Linked DNA regions of Oryzias latipes. The protein of the gene in region 2 purifies or fractionates together with the protein of the main gene of each other region. This does not show direct contact. Links are inferred from orthologs where the notes say so. Each region holds a gene or a part of one and is shown on either strand. Other genes may lie near its edges. The genes, in order: xxylt1 and slc30a1.

The links.
Region 1: the proteins of slc30a1 (region 2) and xxylt1 purify together in Homo sapiens (co-immunoprecipitation; 3 studies listed by BioGRID and IntAct, with this or other methods). This does not show direct contact. The link is inferred for Oryzias latipes from reciprocal best matches to the Homo sapiens genes SLC30A1 and XXYLT1.

What each region holds. Positions count from the first base shown.
Region 1 is NC_019862.2:13,011,968-13,024,354, forward strand, and holds the end of xxylt1 (xyloside xylosyltransferase 1), read right to left. Parts: intron 6,882-12,387; coding exon 6,485-6,881; 3' UTR 5,720-6,484; downstream 1-5,719. UniProt on the Homo sapiens protein: Alpha-1,3-xylosyltransferase, which elongates the O-linked xylose-glucose disaccharide attached to EGF-like repeats in the extracellular domain of target proteins by catalyzing the addition of the second xylose.
Region 2 is NC_019882.2:6,331,404-6,344,249, reverse strand, and holds slc30a1 (zinc transporter 1), read right to left. Parts: upstream 7,068-12,846; 5' UTR 6,712-7,067; coding exon 6,144-6,711; intron 5,179-6,143; coding exon 4,319-5,178; 3' UTR 2,833-4,318; downstream 1-2,832. Other genes in the region: serine/threonine-protein kinase Nek2, read right to left, coding at 7,779-7,984, 8,249-8,316, 8,419-8,473, 9,016-9,250, 9,324-9,450, 9,536-9,618, 9,751-9,991, 10,073-10,290 and 1 more. UniProt on the Homo sapiens protein: Zinc ion:proton antiporter that could function at the plasma membrane mediating zinc efflux from cells against its electrochemical gradient protecting them from intracellular zinc accumulation and toxicity.

The DNA.
Region 1 (12,387 bases), on a different chromosome or scaffold from region 2:
CCTTTATTTATTTCCCTTTTCCTTTATTATGCTGTTTTTAGCCAAAATCGAAAAACCTGTTATTTTTTAGGATATAGATTCTGCTGAAAAAAAGGAGTTAATCAGATGTTCGCCTCAGAGTTGTGGGAGGGACTGTGGGCACAGAGTAAGTCCGCGGTCATTTCCCATCATCCCTTTGTATACACTTTGTCCCCACTACCTTACAGCCCCTCACAATACCAAGCTAACATTACCAATGCAACAAAAATGGGAAGCAATATTGGCACTACCCAGCTGTACAGTTTTACGCCAGATGCCAACTCAGGCGAGGAAAATCAAGACGTACACAGATCTATTTGTCTGCAAGTGGATGCAGTGGGTTTGTGGCCTGCTGATTTTAGTCTGTATGCAACACCTACAAGCTTTTTCAAATGGAATTTTTTTTCCGTCTGCTCCTGATTCACAACAATTTGAATAAAGAAATCCTCAAGAATGCCATTTAAAAATTAATTTTCTCTATATATCTCAACTAACATGAGAAAAACGCAACAAGGACATGTTAAACCCTATTTTCATTGGAATGAGTTTTAATAACAACAAATATTTGCTGGTTGTTTTTTCTCTTTTTAGAAACTTATAAAACAAAACAAGACATTTCAAATGAGAATTCCGAACTGTTCAAAACTGAGCCAGTCTGTGGTTTGTGGTTGGAAGGTCAGCAGATTCATTCATACAGGTCTGATATGGAACACGTGGCAAGGAACAAGTCAGTCTTCTCTGCTTTTCGGCCGAAGCCACGGGATTCTCTGGCACGTGAAAGCTATTTATGTGACACCAAATCTAAGTTTTCCATTCCTGAGATTCACCTTGACTCTAACCATTCTAGGAGTATTGATTTGCCAAGTAATAATAGGTACTCAGCAGCTTTTGTAGGAGTTCTCTGAATCAAACACTTTATTGTGTATTGACTGTGCAAAGGTGGGTCAGGGGAATTTGGAAAAGTAGGTGGGAACTGGTGCACAGCTCCAGGGGTCCGGGCCACAGCTGAATATGGCACACATCAGATTGGGGAGAAAAATAATGTCAGAATGACTTTATTCGTTCAGAAGGAACTCCCTCTATGTTAATGGGAAGCAATAGATTTTAATTAAGTAATTTCAGTTTGAAGTGTTTTTTTTTTAATCCAAAGAATGACATTAATTGAAGGTATTTCCAAAGAAAATGCACAAATATCTAACTCCAAAACAAATTACCCGTTTTAAAATTCAGAAAATCAAGGTGAGTGAATTGTGATTTATTCATGTGAAACTGCAAAGTCTGTGTTTCCCTTCAGCCTATGTAACCCTTGTGCTATCCTAGGCACTTTAACATTGGGAGTTGGGTCATCTAGACCCACTAGAAAGTGCACTGAACCTTTTTTCTTCAATGATTTGTGAACCTCACTGGTGTCCATGGATGACATGAAATCTTTCCACCTTTATCCACCTTTGTCATGGTGGGGAGAACACGTCAATGTAAGGGTGGGGTCATCAAAGATAGCACAAGGGTTAAAGATGTAAGGCAACAGAAACTTTTTTTAAATTAATTATGAATCATGTCATTTTAGGCTTTTGATTTAAAACACAGTAGTTTGAGCTACATTTGGTAATTAATATTTATCAATTAAACCAAGTTTATCTATGAAGCCCTTTTCATGTAAACTTTTAAAACACGTCCCAATTACATTAGTCAAAAGAAATAAGAATGAAAGGAAAAGAATAATTTAAAATAATTGAATTTTCCATTTATTGCTTATTTAAATCCTCACAGAGCAAGGACACGTCATGAATTTATTTCCATCTACGCTTTGACTAACTCACAGCACAGATTCTAATTAGGTGCGATAGCAAAACGCTGCACAAAAAGTCAATAAAACCTGTCTGATGCTCCCAGAGGTCAAACGGTTGGATGACAAAGAACTGATTTCCATTTGAATCAAAAGATTTGCTCTTGAATTCAGGCTGTTCCAAGACAGCTTTTATTCATCACCTGAACCTGATCTTTAAAGACGACAGGTGTTTGACGCAGGATGCTTTCAATTTGTGATTCAGCAATGCTGCAGTTAAGACAAACAATGATTAATGAACGCTGGGTTGTTCGGCTTTGTGTCGAGTGCCTGAGCTGCGGTGACAAAGAAGAGAATTTGCAGCAGGATGTTGCAGATAAGCACATTCTGCAGCCACTAAGTGAAAGCAAAACAAGCAGTGCTTCTGTGGAGAGACCGACAGATAGAATGGGGGACAGAGGAAGCGACACGTCGGACAATCTGTTTGGGAAGAAATTGGCCTACATTTTTTCCCCCGAGTGGAACAGAGTGTTGAACACTCACATGCACTATGGAAAATCCTTTGTATATGTTTAGGTTTATTGGCTCCAGATCCATTTGTTGTCAAACAGGTTGGACGGCCCTCAGTGATCATTTTAGCATCATTTAGCAACATCAAATCAAACATGCAAAAAAGAAGATGCAGCTACTTTGTTCTAGATACATTCAGAGATTACCTATAACTTCAAATTACTGATAATAACCTTGGGATTAAGCTGTTTTTAGTATAAATATGTGCATGAAAAACACATAAAGGTTATTTCTGCCCAGAAACAAAGTAGAAATAATTAGTGCTGGCTGATGAAAGCAGGATGAAGGATTTATTACAAGAGGTGTAATAAATTGCAGGGAATAAAATAAGATGTAATAAAGGTTTGCTGCTTAAGCTATACAGGGAAAAGCTTAAAGAGTAGATTTCTGATGCTGCACCTTATTTTTTGCATCACCTCATTCACACCAATGCTGAACAACTGTCATAATTTTAAAACTACATTACATCTCTTTCTATTTCTCCAAAACATCTTAAACCTTGAGGCTGAAAGCCCTCAAGAAACACATAACCTTCTTTTTATCTTAGTTCTTATACAGTCATCAGCCTATTTTGGTATGAAAAGGGCATTGAATATGATTCAGCAAAGTGAAAATCACTGGAAAAAGGGAATATAAATGAAAAAGAATACATATAGGAAACTCGATAAAGAGGCTTTTTAGTTTCAAAGCCAGAGGTCAAGGCTGGTTATTTTCCTGTGAAGCTTTTAAACTTGTGTTGGGAGTATAGGAGTGACAGAAATGGGTCATGTCTAGCTGGAAGCAGACAAATGAGCGCACAGACATGTGCTTATATAATGGAGAACATGAGGATGTTCCCTTCACAGGATTATTCTGAACCCTGCAGTGGATCACAGCCTTGTCTGTCTGTGGACATGAGGGTTAGAAAGCTCTGCTTCCAAACCACACAGATACCAGCAAAGTCAATCCTCATACCGGTAATTAGTTTTTACAAAATTGATTTTAAAGATACCAGAAATATGCTCAACGTTTGGTTCAAAATTCTTCCTAAAGGTTACATTTTGCTACATGGTTACAATAAAACGTTTATAAAGGAATGAGGGGACAAGTCTTCGTTGTTAAACCCAGGGGAACTTAATAGTTGTGTGATCGTCAGGCTTTATTCAACGAAAGGAAACTTGGTGATGAGGTTTCTCTGTAAGGTTACTTTGTGGTGTGGCAAGCATTACCTGAAGAACAGTGCATAACTTCTGCTGCGTGTTTTTTGGGGATCAAGTAGTTTACGGCTTAGTTAGACACAACTGCCCTTAGAGGTGAATACGGGTGAAAAATGGGCAAACTTTTTAGAGACACAGGGGTGGTCTGCAAAAAATATCCAGCTCGTAGAGCGTGATTATTCACGCACATTCTTTTCTACAGGCGACAGGTCATAGGGAACACTTAACAAGGGTACTTACAAGGGTAAGTAAAGGTTGAAATAGGGGAGACACGTACTTGTCGTACGCATTTTTCTTTTTTATTAACTCCACTCCAAATTCTGTTCGTTTGGGCTGTTTAAATCAAATTGTGCGCCCCTTGCACACAGTCTGACAGTTAAAAAAGAGGAAATGAGACAATCAGAATGTGGTTTGTGTGGGCATCCTATGGGGTCCTACAGGTACTCATATTTGCACGCCATCAGTAAAGAACCTTACTGACGACTAGACTGCAACATGAAGGGCACCGTCCAACAGCATCACCCGTACGTCCTAAGTGCGAGCAAATGACATGATCCTTACAAATATATCACAATATACTTAACACAGGCAGGACAATCATACGTTGCATATGAAAATGCCAAAAGGGAACTGAAAGGCACAGCCGCTCCTCTCTACAACCCCTCTGCGGGGCCTGGACAACCCAAAAACCTGCTGCAGCCATACGGGTCAACCCAGACATGGTGCATGTGACTAAAGCTTTACATACCTGGAGGAGGTGCTGCAAAACTGCTGCATAAGATTCCAAAATACGTTTAAATAGGAAAAAAATCTTATGCTTTAATGTGACTAGTCCAAAATACAGACTACCGGTAAAAAGATTGTTAAAGGCATCCCACAATGTAAATATTTGGTGCTTTACTACCTTCTTTGAAGACCAGAAGCGCTTTACAGTGACAGTCAGATTCATCCCCAAACACACACACAAATTCACACACTGATGGCGGCTCCGTTGCCAAACACTGGTACCAATGTGGGGTTCACATTGCGTCTTGCCCAAGGACACTCCGATGCATGAGTGGGCAGGGCAAGAACTGAACCTGTGATCTTGCTGATCAGAAGTCAACCGATCTACCTCTACACCACGGCTGCACAGATACCCTTTCACCTCTTTATCCATCTTCCAAACCAATTTAATCTCGTTTGGGGTCATGAAGATGCTGGATCCTATTCCAGCTACGATTGGGTCATCAAGTGGTGGTAGGGTCACACACTCACAATTTAGCGTCGCCAGTTAACCCATGCAGCATGTTTTTGGGATGTGGGGAGAAAGCGGATGCAAACTCCACACAGAAAGGTCCCAGCCAGGATTTGAACCAGGGTCTTCTTACTGTGAAATGAAAGCTCCAACTACCACTACATTACCTTGTAGCGCCTCTTTCACCAACCTATAAGTCAAAATGATGGAAAGGAATTAAAAATGACTCAGTAAAAACTAGTCACTTTTCAGATGACAGCCCCTAAACCTACTACTATGATGGAATCAACCTGGATGAATGAGAGTCTTCATAGACAGTCTCTTTTTTGCTTGCATCGCACAAATGTAGCAGTTGGGTCTAAAGTCCGACTTGATTCATGAGACCAATCTGACAATTTGTGCTTTCAACACGGTCCTCCTTTTGGAATGCAGCGTTCCTGCACACAAAGGACAGCCAAGGGGGAAACGGGCAGACAATATGGCGTCTAAACAAATCCCAGCAAGATATCCACTTCCCATTCTCTATTGACTCAGCATAATGAGCTGCTTTGATACAGTTAAAGAGTCGCTACATTTCAGTTTCATAGGAGCTTTATCTTTTAAAGAAAGCAGCGAAGGAGACAAAGACACAAATATGTTGAATTCTGAGAAAACCGATTCACTTTTGCTTTTTTGTGTGGCTATAATGTGAAAATATGAATCTCAAAATATCTTTTGAAGGTTCTAAAAAGAGTTTTAACAAACCCGTACTTACCAATATCTTTGAGCAGAAACTCAAGGATTTCTACACTTACCATTCACTTGCAGACCAAATGGATCATTCAGACTGGTTGTAGTCTCAGTCAACTGACCAAATAACTTTTTCCAAACATGACTCCTCATTCAAAAAAAACAAAAACAAACAATAAAATATAAGTTATCACATTGTTTTTATTTTCAAATTCTGTGTGTTGAAAAATGTTCCTTATACTTTCATTTTCATGAAATTATACAATTGTTTCAGTAGTTGCCACATTTTCTTTTTTAGTCCAAATGTCAGTTCTGTTTTCACAGAGCCAGTAAAGACAAAGTGGGTCAGCGTCTGGACCGCCCACTGATGTAGGTTTGTGTTTGGCCTCGGTAAAATGCAAATGCTGAGCGCAAAACATGATCATTAATGCTCCATTGACTCACCTCTTTTTCCACCAGCTCATGGAAGAAGCTGCCACAGTGCTGCAGAAAGATGAAAAGTCCACCGTTGTGTTCATTTTCATCAATATTAGAATGTTTTTATCTATAATGCCAAAAACCTTTTTTCTATTGATTTGTTAAGATTTTAAAGTTTGTTTTCAATAGAATATAAATTAAACATTTATTTTTCTTAAGGTATAAACAGAAACATTAATTTGCATGAAATTATGCAGGTTTGAATGACACGGCAAAGCCTACAAAGATGAGAATCCTTTTTATCATTTGTGCTTTGCTCTTATGTTGTAATCCAGAACATTTCTCATCGGTACATTAATTTGGAGTGCTTTGGTTCTGCCCTCCTAGCTAACAGCTTCACTAGTTAGTCCGTCATGAACCCCTTGGCAGGCACAGGTCAAGTTTGGAAAGCGTTGAAGAAAGTCAACCAATCCAGTTGTGCCTCCCAACAAGAAGGAATCCTAAAGAACATGTGAGTGGCGGTGACGTAGTTCAGTCTTCTGGTATGGGGGAATTACAGTTTCCATGGTAGATATAAACAGGTCCCTCGCAACGATAGTACAACTGAAAGACGTCTGCGTAACCGTGGTCCCTCCACCAGGTGCACAGCTGCCGGTTCCAGCCGCAGGGTAAGGAATAAAACAGGTTAGGATGCTCCATGCCAATCATAGTGAAGAAGTCCTGGTCACCCAGGTGACCTCTAAAGCGATACTTGTCTGCCAGTTTGGCAACATTACTTGGCTCTAGAAGCTGGTTATAGAGAGCTGAGGCCCTCATTCCCTGCAGGTCCAATAGCATCACGCCACTGTTGAAACCTGGGAGTCCGTCAGGAGGAGGTTCTCCTACTTTGGTCTGGGGGTTCTCCTTGCGGTACTGCCAGAAGGTGTGTCTGAGGAAAGAGAGGCAGTGTGGTTGGTTATGTTGAAGGCACTTATCAACCAAGTTGCCAGCAACTTGGCCCTGCAACATGTTCATCAAGCTTTATGAAAAGAAAGATCTGTGAAAGCATGAACCGTCCGATGCGCCGCATCACGTAACATATAGTACATATATATATAACATATAGTCCGCGTGGCGCAGCACCACCGCTGCAGTCAAGATTCGGCGATATATATATGCTGATCGTCCCGATGGGTTGAATAAATCATCAATTCAGAGGGAAAGTTAATCGCTTACCGCTTGTTTTTGCCCAGATGATGATGAAGCAAAAGGTTGTTTTACAGAAGCCGGCGCAGTGATACAAATCATTTAAACTAGCCGACCGGAACTTCTTTTTTCACCGTGAGATTATCAGGTTTTAACGCATACCCAGCAGCCGATCAGAATCGAGTATTCACCCAGACCATGGTATAATACATGTTAAGTATTGGATCCATTCTCTGAACCTGCTGAATCTCTTTCAGGGTCGTGGGGTTGCTGGAACCTGTCCCAGTTCTGTTGGGCGAAGGCAAGGAACACTCTGGATATGTTCCCAGTCGATGTGCGGGTCAAACAACCATAAACACACACTCAATCAGGTCACTGGTCTGTCGAAAGGCCACACGACCACACATTCACACTAAGGGGTATTTTTGGAAACACCAATTAACCTACGATCAACCCATGAGGCGTGTATTTGGACTGTGGGAGGAAGCCGGACTGGTCTGAGAAAACCAATGCATGCACAGGGAGAACATGCAAACTCCAAATAGAAAGGACCAAGCTGGGATTCAAACCAGGGCCTTCTCACCGTAAAGCAAAAACACCAACCACTACACGACTGTGCAGCATAACAATAGGTTACAAAATAAAAAATCTCATTCTTTAATTCAAACTTTACAAGTGCAACACCAAAGACAGATCTGTGCTTTACCAGCTTGTCATAAAGAGTTTACTATACCACTATAAACATGTTGTTTTGATATTATAATTTAAAAAAATTACATTTGAGCATTATCGTATCAAAAAACCTCAAAACATGATTTCAAGCTACTTTTTGTTTTTTTTTTAAGAATCAAATGGAACAGAAATAGATGCATAACTTGGTCAAGTATTCTTCTGTCAGTTTTCAAGTGTTCCTATTGAGAACTTCTGTGCTTCACCAATTTTTTTTTAATCTTAAGAAAATGTGTCTTTTTTTCTGTCTTGCAAAATAAAAGAATCTTATTACGAACGTTTTTCAATAGTAAAATAACCTTAGTTTAAGCAAATACGTCTTAGCAACTATAATTTTGCTTCTTCACATAATATTTGTTGGTATTTCTCACACCCCATAGGCAGATTTTTCTTTACTTAAAGAAATATGTTCAAGTTCTAAGATTTTTTTGACTTATTTCTAGGGGGCCTGTTTTTGCAGTGTAAACACAGGGATGAACAATAATATACTCCAGCTTGAACACAAGGAAACATACACACAAAGAAATTATTTTTAGCCCTGACTGAGCTGTAGGTGAAATATTAATGGGCCGCTTTGCAGGCTGCAGTAGGACATTTATTTTCACCACTAGATAAAAAAAAAAAAAAAACACCCTTGACTTTCTTGGAGTGAATATTACATGTGGGAACTTTTCTTAAAATAAACATGCTTTGTAAAGAGGCCCTGTAGCCCTCCATGAGGAGTTCATGAAGTGCATTAGAAATACATTCTCAAGAGTCAAGATCTGATATTTTTACTGACCTACACTGAGCAGCTGTAGTCTGTCCCCTCTGCTTTATCCAGCTGGAGAGCTGCTAGCAGGGGACCTGAAGCCTCTGTGGAGCATTTATCATCATCTGGAGGACACGGTCTACGTGCCCTGACACACATCATGGGTGAATGTGGTTTTATTAGGAAACATTTATGACAAAGAGTCGTTAATCTATTCTGGAAATGTGACAGTTAAAGCTCAAGGCAACTCCATAATGTTTTTGTTTGATTTGATTTGATTAAATATATGAGCATATATATTTATTTATAAACCTATTTATTGGCTTTTTGTTATAGTCAGGTTTTAGCTAAAATACTAAGTAAAAAAAATCTTTCAAAAATTTCTATCATGTGACAGCAAAGGCAGCAAAGATCAAGACAACACTTACCACCATGCTGCCAAAACTTCCATCTGCTCCTAGTTTTTTCTTTCTTGAATGGAACGGGCCTCCAAGTCATGACAGAATTAAAAACATTAGGGGATGACAAGGATGTTCTGTGCCGTCTTCTCGTCCGAATGTCTCAGGACACGGAGTAGCCGTCTCTGAACACTATGTGGGACCCTCCTGCTGCCCTCCTGTTATTCTTTTTGGTCAACATGAATGAAATGTCCTCTACTTTTCACCAAACAAGAGAACAAAATTCCAACACTGAAAAAAGAAGCCTTCAGACAAGATGCTGCTGCAGACACTCCAAATAAATAAATCATGAATTCTGTTGATTATTCTTCTAAATCAAGACTTTCCTTTCCCTGCTTTTATAGGAGCATCACCACTGACCAGGGATACGATGAACAAAATACAAAATAAATTTAAAAAGAATTAATCAAAGCCTTTCAAAATAAGATTGCTTTACCATTTTACCTCACAATCTCCAACAAAATGGTTCAGTATAGGTGCCTCACAACAAAAAGACACCGCATGAAGACCGAATGGTTTTCTTTCTGTACCAGCCTTCTCTCACAGAACATGGCTCATTTCAAAAGGATAAAATGAAAAACCTGTTTACAGCGTACTTGTAAATGTGTATTGCTCTCGCTGTTGCAACAGCAGGCGGGAGACACACATCTTTTCATTTTATTTCATTTCCCATTATTGAAACTCTGGTTGGCAGGAAGTGCAGTGAATGAGGCTGGTCGGAGGAAGTGTTTTTTGCACTACGCTGTGTCAATGCGCACAAAAACAGAGTGAGAGCTGACAGGAAAACACTCCAGTCGGGGACACACACAGGGCCTCTCCAATCCCTGGCTTTAAAATGAAAACTCCACAAAGACAACCAGCCATTAGCTAATGGGTGACAAAACAGCTCGCATTAATTTGGAGCTGGCTGAAGATGTGGTTCTGAAATGTTCATTCGCTTCAAATTTAAAAAAAGTTTAATGAACTCAGACAACCAGAACCCATCTGAAAGTACTAGTCAACACAGGAAACTGGAAGTAACTAAAAGATTTTAATAAAAACCTTAACTTAAAAAAAATGATCTGAACCAAGACCAATAACTAAATCTGCAATTGATCTAATAAGAATCAGGTTATGTCAACAGTGTAAAAAACCCACAGAAAATAAATGTGTTGAAAAAAACGCGAGAGGGGTGGGATTATTCGGGGTGTCTAGTTGTTGTTGTTTCTCTTTCGGCTTTTCCCAACAGGGGTCGCCACAGCGAACGAGTCGCATGGTAAACTTGGCAATGTTTTACGCCAGATGCCCTTCCTGACGAAACCCTCTCAGAGCAACCGGGCTTGGGACCGGCACAGAAGGGAACAGGGAGCAGCCCGGAGTTGAACCCTGGTTTCACGGACGGAAGGCGCTGCAAACCAGCACGAGCTAAACCGGCTCCCATTCGGGGTGTCTAGTGATTAACAAAAATTCAATTTAAGAAGAACACTAAAACTCCAATTTAATCCTATATGTACAAAGAAAACGAAACAAACAGCTAGAGTCTGCCATTTCTTCCTCTACACGTGATTGGATGGCCATGATCCCTACTGTACCAAGCTTTTTGGCAAACCGCGCCGTTTGCTTCATTAGGCTTTCCATGAACAGGTTTAAACCACCACAACTACGGTAATCCCTATTTTCTAGCCATTTCTTTGTGAATTTGCACTTTCCCACTTTTCCAAGCCAATGAACGTGAGCTAATTAGTTTAGATGAGGTTAAACAATTTTATGATCAGGTTATGAGCGCATCCTGGAAATTTTTTTTTTCTCTTTTTTTTAAGTGACAAAAAGTCACATTGCGTTGAGAAAAAATGTAAGACTTATTCACCAGAATTTAAGATATGTTAATGGTCTTAAGGCCTTATTTTAATCAGATTAAATGTAAGACTTTTTAAGGATCCACTGCCACCCTGATGTATAGATTCTCTTCTTCTCATTCCCCTATCAAACAACTAATAAAGCTATTTGGCAGTCCATATGTTTAATGGATCCAAAATAACCTGCAAATATTTATCTATTTATGATTATGAGCAATTACACTATTAATAACAATATATTCTACCCTATCTTTTTTTAATTGTATTTAACCTTTAACCTTTTGGCATTCAGAGCGAACAGCAAAGTAAAGGCCCGTACACACCGGGACGAATATTCGCCAGGCGTTATTCGCCATGTCTTTTGTGTTCACACCCAGGCGATTTTCGCTGACGATGAGCCGAGCGAACATGCAATTTCATTCCCTGACATTAGATGGCGCTTAATGTAAACAGAAATACTCCTGTACACAAGGTGGCGCTGCGCAACTTTACGATTCTTAAAGTCGCTTTTCACTCAGAAGAAGAGAGCAAGTATTTACGCGCTTGTCAGAATAATACAAAGAAAACATGAATATTTCAAGCATCAGTAGCTCCAACTGGTGCTTGGTTCAGGGATATTTAAGAATGTCCGTCATTATTTCTTCGCAGCAGTGTAGACGCTACTCGGCGTCTGTCTTTTTCGCTGGTATATGTGCTCAGCAAGGCAGTTTTGTGTTTGAGCGCCCCCAAGTTGTGTTTTACTGTAACTTCAGAAGCTCCAGACACGTGTGCAAAAGCGCCATTCTCATTGGTCGAATAGATTTCGACGCGACGCGTCGAGAAAAAAAAAACGAACCCGAGGCGTTTGTTTTTTTTTGACGCTTTGGCGCGTGGCGTTTTTTCGCGTCGGTTCACACTCACATTGGTGCCCTTTGTTTAGTCACGAGGCGTTAAACGTCGGCGAAAATCGCCGGCGAAATTCGTCCCGGTGTGAACAGGCCTTAAGCATCTCAAACATCTCCTTGTACATTGAATCATTGAATCATTAAGAAGATGGTATCATCTCCTTTTATTTTTGTTTATTTTCTTGATTTTCTAATCAATGTATGACTTCATATCTGAAATAGCTTTGATATAGCTGCGTTTTGTCATTTTTTCTGCATTATTCCAAATCAAATCAAACATTCCTTGTAGTTGTGCAAGTATGATCACCAACTGCTGTTTTGGTGGAAAGACATTTTTTTCTGTGACGTAAACCTTCAGCTGCCTTTCAGACATTTCAATTTCCTTTAGGAATAAAAAAAACAACAATAAAAACATACTTTTAAAATAAACAAAAATTCCACAGAGGAATTTGAACACAAGAACGCAATATCATATTTTCAAAACTGACAGACACCAAATTGTAAAAGTTTTTCCAGAAGCTTGGAGGCCAGATCTCCTGTTTTGCTGTTGTCTCCCTTGAATTATGTGTCTGGGCACAAAAGCAACAAAGCG
Region 2 (12,846 bases):
ATATCATCGTCCATCGTGATGGGTGACTGACATCCCGATGGAGAGACCACCATCGTGATGCCACGCCCCCGCCACGTTGCGCGTCGACACCATAAGCCGCGGTTACATGTACAAAATATCTTGATGGGATCAATGGTCGGATTAGAATCCAACTGTGTACATGGGCCCAGAAAAAATGTTTTCAGAATATAAAAACGTTCACTAAGGTCACAATTTCGGTCGGAATAAATCATTCGCTTATGCGCAGTATTCGCAAATGCGCAGTTTGAAAACCGGAAGGGGATACAACTTCCGCCGAGCGGCTTTTTTTCCAAACTTTATTGAATGTAACAATTCAATACAAAACGATAACAGCACCGAGCGGCTATATATATTGACATGTCAGCTCGGTAAAATACGAGATGATCTTCTAAACGTGCTTTTAATAATGTTACGGTTATTATCAAACACCTGTTCGCTCATCATTTGAATTTTAATCCGTGTGGTCAGTGCTTTTTCTGAACGGAGCCAGGATTAGCAGTATGTTAACACGGGCTAACAACATTAGCTTTGGGTGGCGCTGCACGTAAACGTGTAAGAATAACATCAGCCTTTATTTAGTCGGGACACGACTGGAAACACAAATCCACGTGATTGTTTGAATGTTTTCTAAGGACTGAGCGACATTTCTGCTTTGATGCTCAAACCGCTGTGTGTGCTGACGATCCGAGCTGTGCTCAGACACACGTTTAGACCCGGTTCTGAGTTCGGTTGCTTGTACCCCTAGAGCTGCGGGACGGATCGCAGTCTTAAATCTCCCACACATACCGCTCATGTACCCCCCCCTTCCCATCAAACACAAAGCTTTAAGTCCGCGCTCCGCCGGTCCACTTCACTAATTAAGTGCGGGAGCGACTACACTTCTTTTCTATCTTGCTTGTTACTTTTTCTGTTAAAGTCACTTCCCTAATTTAAACTGGATCATCGCGGATTAACCATTAGTTGGGAGATAAAATGAAAAAAGCAAAATAACGAATAGCAGTTATACAAGAACGAAAAATGTAACACCCCCCCCCCCCCGACGATGTCATCGTCCATCCCGATGGTTGACAGCAAACATCGTCAACGGCCAAATTAGGGGACATCGCCCAACCCTATGTGCTTCTAGCATCTTAAATATTTGCAGAAAAACTTCAAACAAGGGAACGTTTATTTTTATTTCGACAATTGAAAACCTAATTTTATCATCTCCAAAAAAGGTGTAGACTCTAAACTGAACGAGCCCAACCTGTTAGTACTTTGGTACTTTTGTTGCTCTTTTAAATCCTATTCAAGTCACTTTTGGGATGACTACATTTTACTTCTACCACAAGAGCAAATGTTTACTTTTTCTCGAGTTCCATATTTGTTCACAGTTGGATGCAGCAGCACAAATGAGCTCTATTCTCCTTTAGTTTAGCTGCTTCGAGTCACGTGTCTGTTTTTTCATTTACCTTTTCTCTTTTCCAGCTTACCCAGGTTGAAAAGAGGTACCAGCATCTGGCAGTGGGGTCACGACCTCGTTTCCACCGTTGTCCCCCCCCAACAACCAGTGTTTAAAAAAGACCCTGGATAAAGCTGGAGACAGATGGCCAAATGCTGTTGCACGCCCACGCGGACAAATGATGAAGGCATCAATTTCTTCCGTAACCCTTGTGCTATCCTAGGCACTTTAACGTTGAGAGTTGGGTCATAGACCCACTAGACAGTGCGCTGAACCGTCAAGCAACACTTGACAGCTTTTACAGAGCCCTGGACATGTCCTTAGACATTTTCCCCTCAATTCAATGATTTGTGACCACAGATGGGTATTTTGTGCACACAAATTACCATTTTGGTTTTGGAAATTTCTACTGTCAATTTGTGGCCACAAAATGCAAATTTGTGCTCACAGATTTCAATTTTTGTGTGCACAAAATGCTTATTTTGGCTCACAAAATACCAAATTTGGGTCCAAAAAATACATAGTTTGTGCGCACAAAATACTAATTTGTCTGCACAAAATCAATTTTTTTTGGCACACAAAATGCCAATTTGTTGCCAAACATACTAAACTGTCCCTTTAAAACAGTAACTTGTCACAAAAAATGATAAATTTTAGGGACCATTTTTTACCTTGTCATGTTCAGGCCCTGCAGTTTTTGTAACTTTAAAGAAAAAAATGGCAACACTTTGTTGTATTAAATAAATTAAACATTTGGATTTTAATAATATAAATTTAATTTAAGTTTAAAACAAGTACAACAAATATTCTGGGAAAAAGAAAAAAAAAACTTTAGTCAGCCTGTGTTCCTTCAGCCATATCCTGCAGCCCTGAGGAATGCTGGGTAGGGCATTGCACTTGTTACTCCAGCAATGCCCTGGGACTCTTGCATAAGCCCCCTGCAGTTGGTGGCAACTCCACCGGCTTCACACCGACCATCAGCAGCTTTTCCAACTCTGCTCCCTTCTAATCACGCCACAGAGGACAGCCATGGAACTGTCATCGTCGACTTATGCAACACTTCAGATTCTGGATTACCTCCAATCGTTATCGCTGTTCAGATTGGAGGTTTTGTTGCTGCTCCGGCGTTTTCTTAGCCTTGGAGAAATATCAGCCGTTCAAGCTTCACTTCATTTATCGCTTTTAGGGGTTTAGGTTCAGCTTTTTGCAACTGTTAGCTGAATTTTGCACTATTTTTTTTTCTTTGAACGTTTTCATGAAAACTTAAATCTTCAATTATTTTGCGTTGATTTTTTAAAAACGGATCCAAGTGTTCTTGCATTTTAATGATCAAATAAAATTGTTATGATTTAAATAAAGCAAAAGCAAAGCACATTTTCTATTAAACTGTACCAAACAGTCATTTTATTTCACAAAGACATATGGGACATATACTGTATATATTTATATATATATATATGCATTTATATCAAAAACACATCAGCTGACATGTCATTTCCAAAATAAAATAAAAACGCTTTTCCATTTGCACACAAAGCCCAAGTCATAAATGACAAGAAAAGTGACCAAACATTTGAAATGTGGAATACATTTTCCAGCACACACTTAATATTGCATACACATCAAACATTAAGTGGAGACGTATCGTCCTTAGACGATCTCTGTGCTGACGGGAATAAGTCGCGCTTTTGAAAGGCCACCTGAGCCACTAGATTTCTGCAAATAGCCTGGAGTTGTCCAAACGCCATGAGACGAACCCATCCAGACGCACACGTGAGTTATATACTGGAGGATACCAGCAGGAGCTGGTAAGCAGCAAGTCAAGCTCTGGGAGGAGCGTCGTCAAAGGTCTCAGCTTGTTCATGCAAACAACAGATCGTTGTAGGAACATTTCCTCAGTGTGGATTGTGACAAGGTGCAGAACACATTCATGAAGACTTCAACATTTTCAAAGAAAAGATTGAGACAGAAAAATAGTGTATCGCTCAAAAAAAAAAAAAAATAGTGCTCTTCTCTGTACAACACACCTGACCCTCTGGCCTGCAAGGCTTCGGATGTACGAATGCATGGCCGAGTAGCAGACCGTGCTGCTAAGACGTCCACTGCGTTTCTGCTGCGCCTAGTGCTATTCCACAACATCCTGTTTGAAAGGCAAGCCCGGTCGACGCGGCTTTCGTCTCCAGCTGAAGGCCGATTCAGAGAATGGGGTGAAAACACAGATTATTATAAAAGCATCACGTCTGAGAAAGGGCAAAGATAGAAAAACAAAATCAATGTCTGTGTATCCTAACTAAAATATTCAAACAGCATCTATAGATCATATCTAATAACTTAAAAACTTAATTTATTACGCAAGAGGATATTGAAAGTCAGATTCGCTCACAGCATAAACAGTTTGAAAAGAGGTCCATAGGCAAGACTACAAAACTTGTTGATGTGCGCTCCGATGGTCCATTTATAGAAAGAAGGATTCCTCAGTCCTGCAGTGAGAAGCTTTGGCACAGAAAACACCTTTTAGGTTTGACATGTCACAGAGGAACACTCATGCAGGCCCCGCTGGAGATGTGAGGACCACGAACATGCAGAACAACCATACTGTCACGACAAGGGAAGGTGGGGAGGCAGAGGGCATTCTGGGCAGGAAACGCATCAAAAGAAGGAAAAATTGAAAGAAACTAAGGTTCATATGGATGAATGTTGGTGAAGTCGGAGCAACCATTTAAAAAAAAAAAAGTCATAAAAAAGTAAAAGTCATTTTAAGGGAAAAAGGGTGATTAAACCCTCTAAAAATGAGAGTAATGCTTAAGCACAAAGTGGTAGTTTTCCTGCTGCCTCTCTTTATGTGAAATCCCGGACTCACACAGAGGACTCCACCTCTCTGGTGACAGCAACCTCCGCCTCAGTCCGAGGGCCCCCCTGAATGCTGGGAACCTGCTCCGAAGCCTCGCTGATCACCTCTAGGCCAGAGGCAGCAGCTGCTTTAGAGTCACTGGCAGACTTCTGTCCGCAGCACAGCTTAGGAGCGCACTGAGTCCGGCAGGAAAGCTCGCACTGGGAGCCTTGAGTTTCGGAGTTAAAGGTGACGAACTCAGGCTGGATGGTGGTGGCGTGGATGCCCTCGTCGTGGAAGAAGTCCTTGATGCGTTTGGCCACATCCATGTAGGACGTGGGGTCGTGGCATTTGATGTGCGCCGTGGCAATGATTCTGCTTCCTGCCAGCTGCCAGATGTGCAGGTCGTGGATGGCCAGGACGCCGTCCAGGCTGAGCAGGCGCTCGTTGAGGCGGTGCATGTTGATCTGCTTGGGGACGGTCTGCAGCAGGATGAGAGCGGACTCTTTGAGCAGAGGGTAGGTGGTGTAGAGCAATATGCCCACCATGATGATGCACAGCGTGGGATCCAGGTAGAGCACCCAACAGGGCCCGGCTTTTGTGTCCGTGTCCTGCAGATCCACTAGAGTGTGGTTGATGTGGCGGTGGTCTGTCTTGTGGCTGTTGATGCACGGGTTCGTACAGCTTGGACCTTCGCAGGGCTTCCACACGAAAGTGAAGATGACAGAGTTCACCACCACGATGACGGAGCCCAGGGCGTCCCCCAGGACGTGCAGGAAGACGCCGCGCATGTTGAGCTGCGACGACGCATCGGCCTCGGATTCCATCTCCTCGAAGTGGGTGTTGCCGTTCATCTGCACCTCTGTGCTGTCTTTACAGCTGACCTCTGCAGAAAACAACCGTAGAAGAAGGTTTAGACTTCTGTAGTGTCACACTACATAATCACATAGACTTTGACCTCAAGATACCAGCAGCGAGTTTAAAGAAGATTGTTGTTCTATGCAACATCTGCGTTAGTCCACTGTGATATGTTCAATCACATCAACCAACATGTTTTCCCTTTTGAACAAAAGCAGCTTTTCTGCAGAGGGCTCCTCAACCTTGTGACTGATTCTTTAGCACAAGAGCTCGGGGCCATGCGCAAACCAGTGAAACACAGAAAGCAAACTTCGCATGTGGCATCTGAGTCTTCCTAATTCAGATTTAGTAACAAAAAGGCAGAGCTTAGGAAGCCGTTTCTCTCAGGGCACCTCCAGGTCGTTCATCAGGGACTAATGATGTGTCCGGGGCTGTCGAGTCCCAGAGTCTCTGATGTATGACCCACTAATAGCAATCGGTGTACAGGGGTGGAAGAAATGAAGGTTCATTTATTGAAACTGGCAGGGCTTAACAAAAGAGGAGGGTGTTCTTTACTTGATTTTAACCCTTCTTTGAATGAAGAAGGGAGGAGATAATCTTATTTTGAAATCCTTATGCACAGAAAAGATGTGTTCATAGAAACACATGAAGGCGAGGCTGTCATCAGCATCACTGAAGGGGGTCTTTTTTGAACACAAAATAAAGGCTACAAATCCCAGGTTGTTTTGATAGCTTTGGTAAAGGAGTACTTCTCACAAAGCAAGAAACGTCTTGCTTGTGTCGCAACACTTTTCAGGGATGTAGTGACTCAACAAATTATATGCATTTGAAAACAAATAAATGTCAAGACTGAAGCTGACAAGAACACAATACAGATTAGTCAGGCAGTTGTTTGAAAAGCTGATGATTTAAGGTGGAATCTGAGCTGTTTACAGTAAGATTAGGCTCAGTTAACGCCACCATGTCAAATATAATGCACGTTTCCATACATACCCATGCTTGGTTTGGTGTTGCTGGTGTGATTCCCCACCAGGTAGTTGGTCTCTTCTCCAGCAGATCCGTTCCCGGCCTTCTGGGACTTGCCATGTTTCCCCTTTTTGCCCTTACCCCCGTGAGAGTGTCCCCCGTGCGAGTGGCCGTGGCCTCCCCCGGCGTGCCCATGAAACAAGCAGAGTCCCAGCAGGTTGATCAGTAGCCCCGCCGCGCCGACCCCGGCGACCACCATCGGGCTGTCGATCTCATGGGGTTCGGTGAAACGCTCCACCGCCTCCAGCACGATGGTGAAGCACAGCGCCGTGAGGAAGACGGCGTTGACCAGAGCCCCCATCACCTCCGCCCGGATCCAGCCGAAGGTGTTCTTGTTGGTGGCCTGAGTCTTCTCGGCGAAGCGCACGGCCACCAAAGCCACGATCAGCGCGATCACGTCGGACAACATGTGAAAGGAGTCCGACAGCATCGACAGAGACGAAGTGATGCGACTGACCACCACCTCCACCAGGAAGAAGCCAAAAGTCAGTGAAAGCATACAGAGCAGGCGCGCTCGGTTGGGTTCGCAAGCCATTTTATAAATTTACTAGTATTTTTAATTCAAGTTTTAGTCTAGAAAATGTCTAAGATGTACGACAGACACCGGGACGACGGTAAGCTAGCTCCCTAACCTACGTTTAAGCTAACTGCTCCAAACAGACAATAAAATCCGAGCTACTGCGTCTTCCCGGTCTGTTTTTATCTACCACCCGCCACCATCACTCATCTACACCCAACGAACACCGCAAACATTTTTCCACAAAGCCCTAAACCTGGTAACCGTGTGAATACACCGTGTTCTTTTCCAGGATATTCCAGACTCATCTGCCGACGATTTCCAGTTTGCAGACGGTTGAAACTTTGCACCCGAGCCGGGCAAAGTTTTCACACGGAACACGAAGGGCAAGACCCGCCCATCACCGTTCCCATTGGTGAGTGGAAAACTAGAACCCATGTGATTGGTCTATTTCACCAATCACGCAAGTAGGAGGCGTGACTTAGCAGGACAACCAGGGTTGCTACGCACGCTGTCCACAACTGAAATCCCGCGACAACTCATTTCCTTTTTTTTTTTTTTTGGTCAGGCACGCTTCACTACAACTACCCTGGCTTACTCCTTCATTTGGATGGACTCACATTTGTTTTTATTAGAAACTGATGACCTCTCGTGGAGAGCAGACGTTAAATTGTCATTGGACTATGAGATTTACTGTTTCTCTTTTAACTCGTTTATGTTGATTGCTTCAAAGCAACATTTAAAATCATTTATTTACTCTTTGAATTCGTCTGTTCATAATAAATAAAAAACCCATTTGTGACATTTTTGTTTATTAATTTTCAACAGTGGTTCATAAAATCTTTTTTTTTAATGAAAGGGTTGTTAAAACAGCAATAATGTGCACACTATTTTAACACTTTCAACAGCTGCCATTGACATTTACACAATCTATAAATCATTTAAAATATAGTTGGACAACAAAGAGAGCAACAACAAAACTTGAAATACACAAGATAAATTAGCTTCACTAAAATGCCAAACAATTATTAAATAAAAACATAAAATCCAGTTGTAATTCAGTCATGAAGAACATCAGGATGCGCTCAGCGTATGCCGAGCATCTGCCTGCTCTTGAATTGGCACATTTGCTCCATCTCGCTGAGTTTTTGGGCGCGTAGCTTTGCAGCCTGCAGTCTCAATTTCATCAAGTCCTGAGACGTTGCACTCTGGCGACCCTCTGGCTGCTCATTCTCTATGTTTTCACCAGCAAAGTGGACCTTCTTCTTCCCAGGAGACAAAATCTCCGCATCTAAAATCAAACAGCAGGGATCTGATTAACACGACTTGAAAGCGCTTTTTAATAATCAGGCAGATTTCTTTTGTCAAGAATTTGGTTTGAGCTGAGAATGGCTTTAAAACTTGTTTATTGAATAAAAGTTCATTGTTAGATTACAAAAAAAAGATACTTTATTTACTTGATATAAACACAATAAATATTTCATTCATTCATAAATTCATAGCCCAGCTGTATCTAAGTTCAGTAAGTCCAGAGGTCTTTGTTGGATTCCCCTACCTATGTCTTCGAGAAAGATCAGGTCCTTCTGCTGCTGCAGCTTGTAATTTCTCAGTAAACTCTCTGCTCTAAAACAGAACATAAAAAGTAAGAATTGACTCAAGGATTTTACACGATAATTCAAAAACCAGCAGTTGTTACATTATGCAACAGACAAAAAGAGAGACTACCTTGCAAGCCTTTCGTTTGTGAGCTGTTCACGAACACACAGCTGTTGCTCCCTTCCTGACAACAGAAAACACAATTTATTTGTACAAAAAGAGAGATTATTGTTGAAAACAAAGTTTAGAAAAAAACACCTTGCATTTCAAACTTTTGTGTGTGGACAGATGTGATGGCAACACTTTGGTTGAGAGGATGGATAATCACGTTCCGACTCCTCAAGCGTTTTATAAGGAACATCAGAAACAAGTACAGCAAATATAAAATCTACCAGATTGAAGCATTTGTGAATAAATGTATTAATCAAAGATTGCTTCGAAAAGGGCTGCTTATAATTATTAAGAGAGCAAGACACCCCAAACCCCTTTCTTTGGGATGAACCCATGCGTGGGAACAGAGAAATGTTTTCTAGTTCTTGTGCAATTTGGCAGCGGAACAGTTCAAGGCCTCAAATGTTGTTTCACAATTTCAGAAAAGTATCTCAGACTCTGATAAGTCAAATCCAAAGGACTGGTTTCTCATTGAATGGAGGCCGCTGCACTCAGAATAACCAAAGAACTATATTCTCCCCTTGATTTAGCCTCAGAAATAACTTAAAGCCTTACTCTCCAGCCTCTCCTCGCGCTCCTTCAGTGCTTTCTCCCTGTCCCGCAGAGCCTGTTCCCTCCGCCTGAGCTCCACCGCTGAGACGTGGGGCGCTTCACTCAGCCTCTGCGGGGGGCTGCTGGAGTCTGCCGACTTCCTTCGGGGTCGAACTTCTGACTTTCTCTGCTCATCCTCGACCACGACACTCAGCAGACTGCTCTGAAGAATAGACTCCACAGACGGCCTCAGGTAATCCTGTCAAAAAGCAGACTGGTGCTCAGCAGATCGTCTATTGCAGGATGAAAACAATCAATCCTTTATTTCAGACCTTCAAGTTGAGCATTCTGCTGATAAGAGAGTTCAGTTCCTCGGAATAACGGAAAGGAATTCTTCTAAACTTTCCTTCCCTGATCTTCTCTGCTAACTCCTTCTGGTTGTAAGCAGTGAATGGAGGCCTCAAAGAGGAAAAAATCCAAACATGAATTCATTAGATCAAACAGCCGAGGGAGCGGATGGAAAAGCTTAAAAAAAAAAACTTACGATAATGCGCAGAGTTCATACAGCAAACATCCCAATGACCAAATATCTGACTTTTCATTGTATGACATCCTATTTATTTGTTCCTGAATGAATAGAAAGTGTAAAAAACTAATCAATAACAAGTACAATATTTTTTTTACCTTGTAAATGTCCTTTAGAGATTTTTTTTAGAGAAAAAATAATTTAAAAAAAGCCAAAAATGTTAAATAACTTACTGGAGACATGTAGTATGGTGTGCCAACAAATGTCTTTGCAAAGCTGGTGTCGTGGTTCAGAATCCGAGCTAAACCGAAGTCGCCGAGTTTTACGTTCTGGTTTGCATCGAGGAAGATGTTGGCTGGTTTTAGATCCCGATGAAGGACGGTGGCTCTGCCGTCGCGCCGCCGGTGACACTCCTTTAGTGCCAGAGAAAGCTGCACCATGACTCGCAGGATAAACTGCTCCTCCAAGTACTTCCTGCCATTTAAAAACAACACATGATGATGCAGATAGAAAGAGGATGACTGCTTTTTCTTTCTTCCCATTTGCTCTATTTACCTCTCTTTGATACACTTGCTGATGAGACAAGACAGATCGCCACCTTCACAGTACTCCATGATGATGTACAGCATGGTATTACGGCGGTCTATAATGCGGTCGTAGTACCTCACAATGTTTGGGTGCTTGAGTTCCCTCAAGAGGTTGACCTCTGAGACCAGCATCTGTTTCTCACACTCAGCCATGGTGCCATAATCGAGCTCCTTCCACACAAGAATCTAGAGAGCAGAGATGCTTTAACCATCAAGAACATGTTCATCTTAGTCCTTTTTTCAAACTTAAAGTTCAAGTGTTTGAGTAAAAAATATTATGTTTTACTGATAAATGACAAAAAACATTTAAATGCTACATTTCCTTGATACTGAATTATGTTTAAAGATTTTTTCTTGTGAAATTAATGTCAGAAAAACTGTAATTTCCCAAATATTAAAGTACATTTGTGTCGTTATTGATTTACAGAGAAGCAAGTCATTGTTTTTTTTTTCATGACTTATCAATTAGATAACATTCACACCGTGTATTTATGTATCTTTATTTAAGAAAATACTGTATGCGTGTCTTGTGCCATAAATACTCACTTTCCCGTCACTCTTTCGTTTTATTTTCTGGCATCTTCCATAGGAGCCCGAGCCTATCGTGTACAGCACTTCGTAGTCATCAACACAGGACGGCATCTTGCCTTCGTCAACCGAAACCAACGTTAAAAGTTTCCAAACTTCACGTTAGCGTCAAATGTAAAGATAGGCCTTAGAAAAGTTGAACATCTAATTCAAGTAGTTACTTAAATTATGTTTTTTGCTCATCCAGATAATAAAGAAGTCCAAAGCCGATCTCCTCAAAACACTCGTGTTCTTTGGCATCAGTTGAAAACACAGGAAGTGCTGCTTCTCCGTTTAAATCGGTGCCAGAATTCTTACCTCTAATTGGCTCGTTCCCACGGGCACGACGGTCTCTGATTGGTCAAACAAGGACGCATTTGTTCACGTTGCTAAGAGCTGAAAACCCGCGAGATTAGAGCGGGAAGAAGCATGTTTATTCCCTGTCCACTAGAGGGCACCAAAAACAAGCAGTAGATTTACGGATTTGTTGACATATAATTGAACATACTAGATACAAATAAAACGTTTATTTGGGGAACGTGGGGAACAATTTGGGAAACAATATTGCTACAAAACACTTTTTTCGTATTATCCACATATAAATTGATTTTTCAAATAAAGCCAAGTGCACTTTTTTCTTTTGCATTTAAAATAACTAGTCACATGAGAACAATCCTTCGATTGAATTTAATAAATTTAACCCTGTCGGTAGCTTGTAAATGTACTTAAAGGTCACTGGCTCATCCAACAGCATTTTCTAAGCATGCATTCTAAGATGGATGGGAAGCAGATCCTACAGTCATCGGTCCCTTGATTTGACCTGCAGGGCAGTGAAAGACAGTGACCTCTCACAGTGCTCCTACATCTGCCATGGCTCTGAATTCACTTCATTGCTTCACTGCAGCAGGATGCCTTCTGGCACGACGGTTTAAGGAAAAAAATGCTGGCGTCACATTGTATTTTTCAGACTGAAACACAGAGCGAAAACATTCAAACGGCTTTGGATCATCTCTAGCATTGTGCACCTTTTCATCCCTTTTCTGGTGCTGTGACAGATTGACAGGTGGGAAGTAGCATGTTGGTAATTTCCAGCCCGTGAAATTGAAGCGTGACTGGAGCAAATCCTAACCACGACAGCTGGTTTTTGTGAACGTGTGATCCGTACTGGAGATGGATGCAGCGTCTGGGACAGTGGTCTAGCCTCTCAGTGGGGCAGCCAGCATAACAAGTCAGATTATCCCCACAACTCTGTCTGCTCTTGAGAGAGTGTTGGACCGGTCTGCCAAAAATCCCTCCGCCAAAGGTCACTGTTTCAAAAAGCTGGACATCAGCCAGGGACAGTTGTGAGGTGGAAGAGAGAGGAAGGAGAGACACCATTGGAAAACTGGCAGCTGAAGACAAGACGTACAGGTGGCTCAGGCCACTGTGATGTCAACTGCCCCCCATTAGAGGGAACGAGCAGAGCCCGAGCGACAATAACCCCCTCACCTGAGGCACAAATTGGTGTCGCAACAGTCGTTGTGACTTAAGACTCCTTTTTCTGGGTCCAGAAGCAGGAGCAGGAAAAGATAGCTCTATGGTTATTGCTACTTTTTCTATTTTTGTTGAATTTCATACAAAAATTGTGTTTTTTCCCACTAATTTATTTTTTGTATAAAAATACAGGGAAAAAAAAATCACAACTCAGGTACGAAACCTAAGGCAAACTCCAGTAGAGGATGAACACACTACAAAATACACACTCACTGGGGGGGTGCATATCGTACTCTCAGACTTAAACTATTCGTTATGTCAAGTTTGCCATGTTGACTTCTTCCCTCCTTATTGTGTTTTTAGACAATAATACACTAACTGAATCCTGCTTAGAGCTTTAACAACCTCTGCATCGTTGTTTAGAAATAAAGCAGTGTCGTCTGCAAACAGCTAAAGGAATGGTTCTCCATTGCTGTCATGAAAGAGGAGACAGTGGCAGAAGTTGTCAGTCAGACTTCCTCCCTACTTTTGCCAAATTATCCCTTGGTTGTGTTAATATTGTGTTTACTTTACACAATAGTTGCACAATGACTCTAATTTTTTGCAAAGTTTGATAACAGTTTCTTATTTTCACTTCTTTTTCCTCCCTTTTATGTTGATTTATTTTCCACACACATTTGGTTTAACTAGCTGGAAACGTGC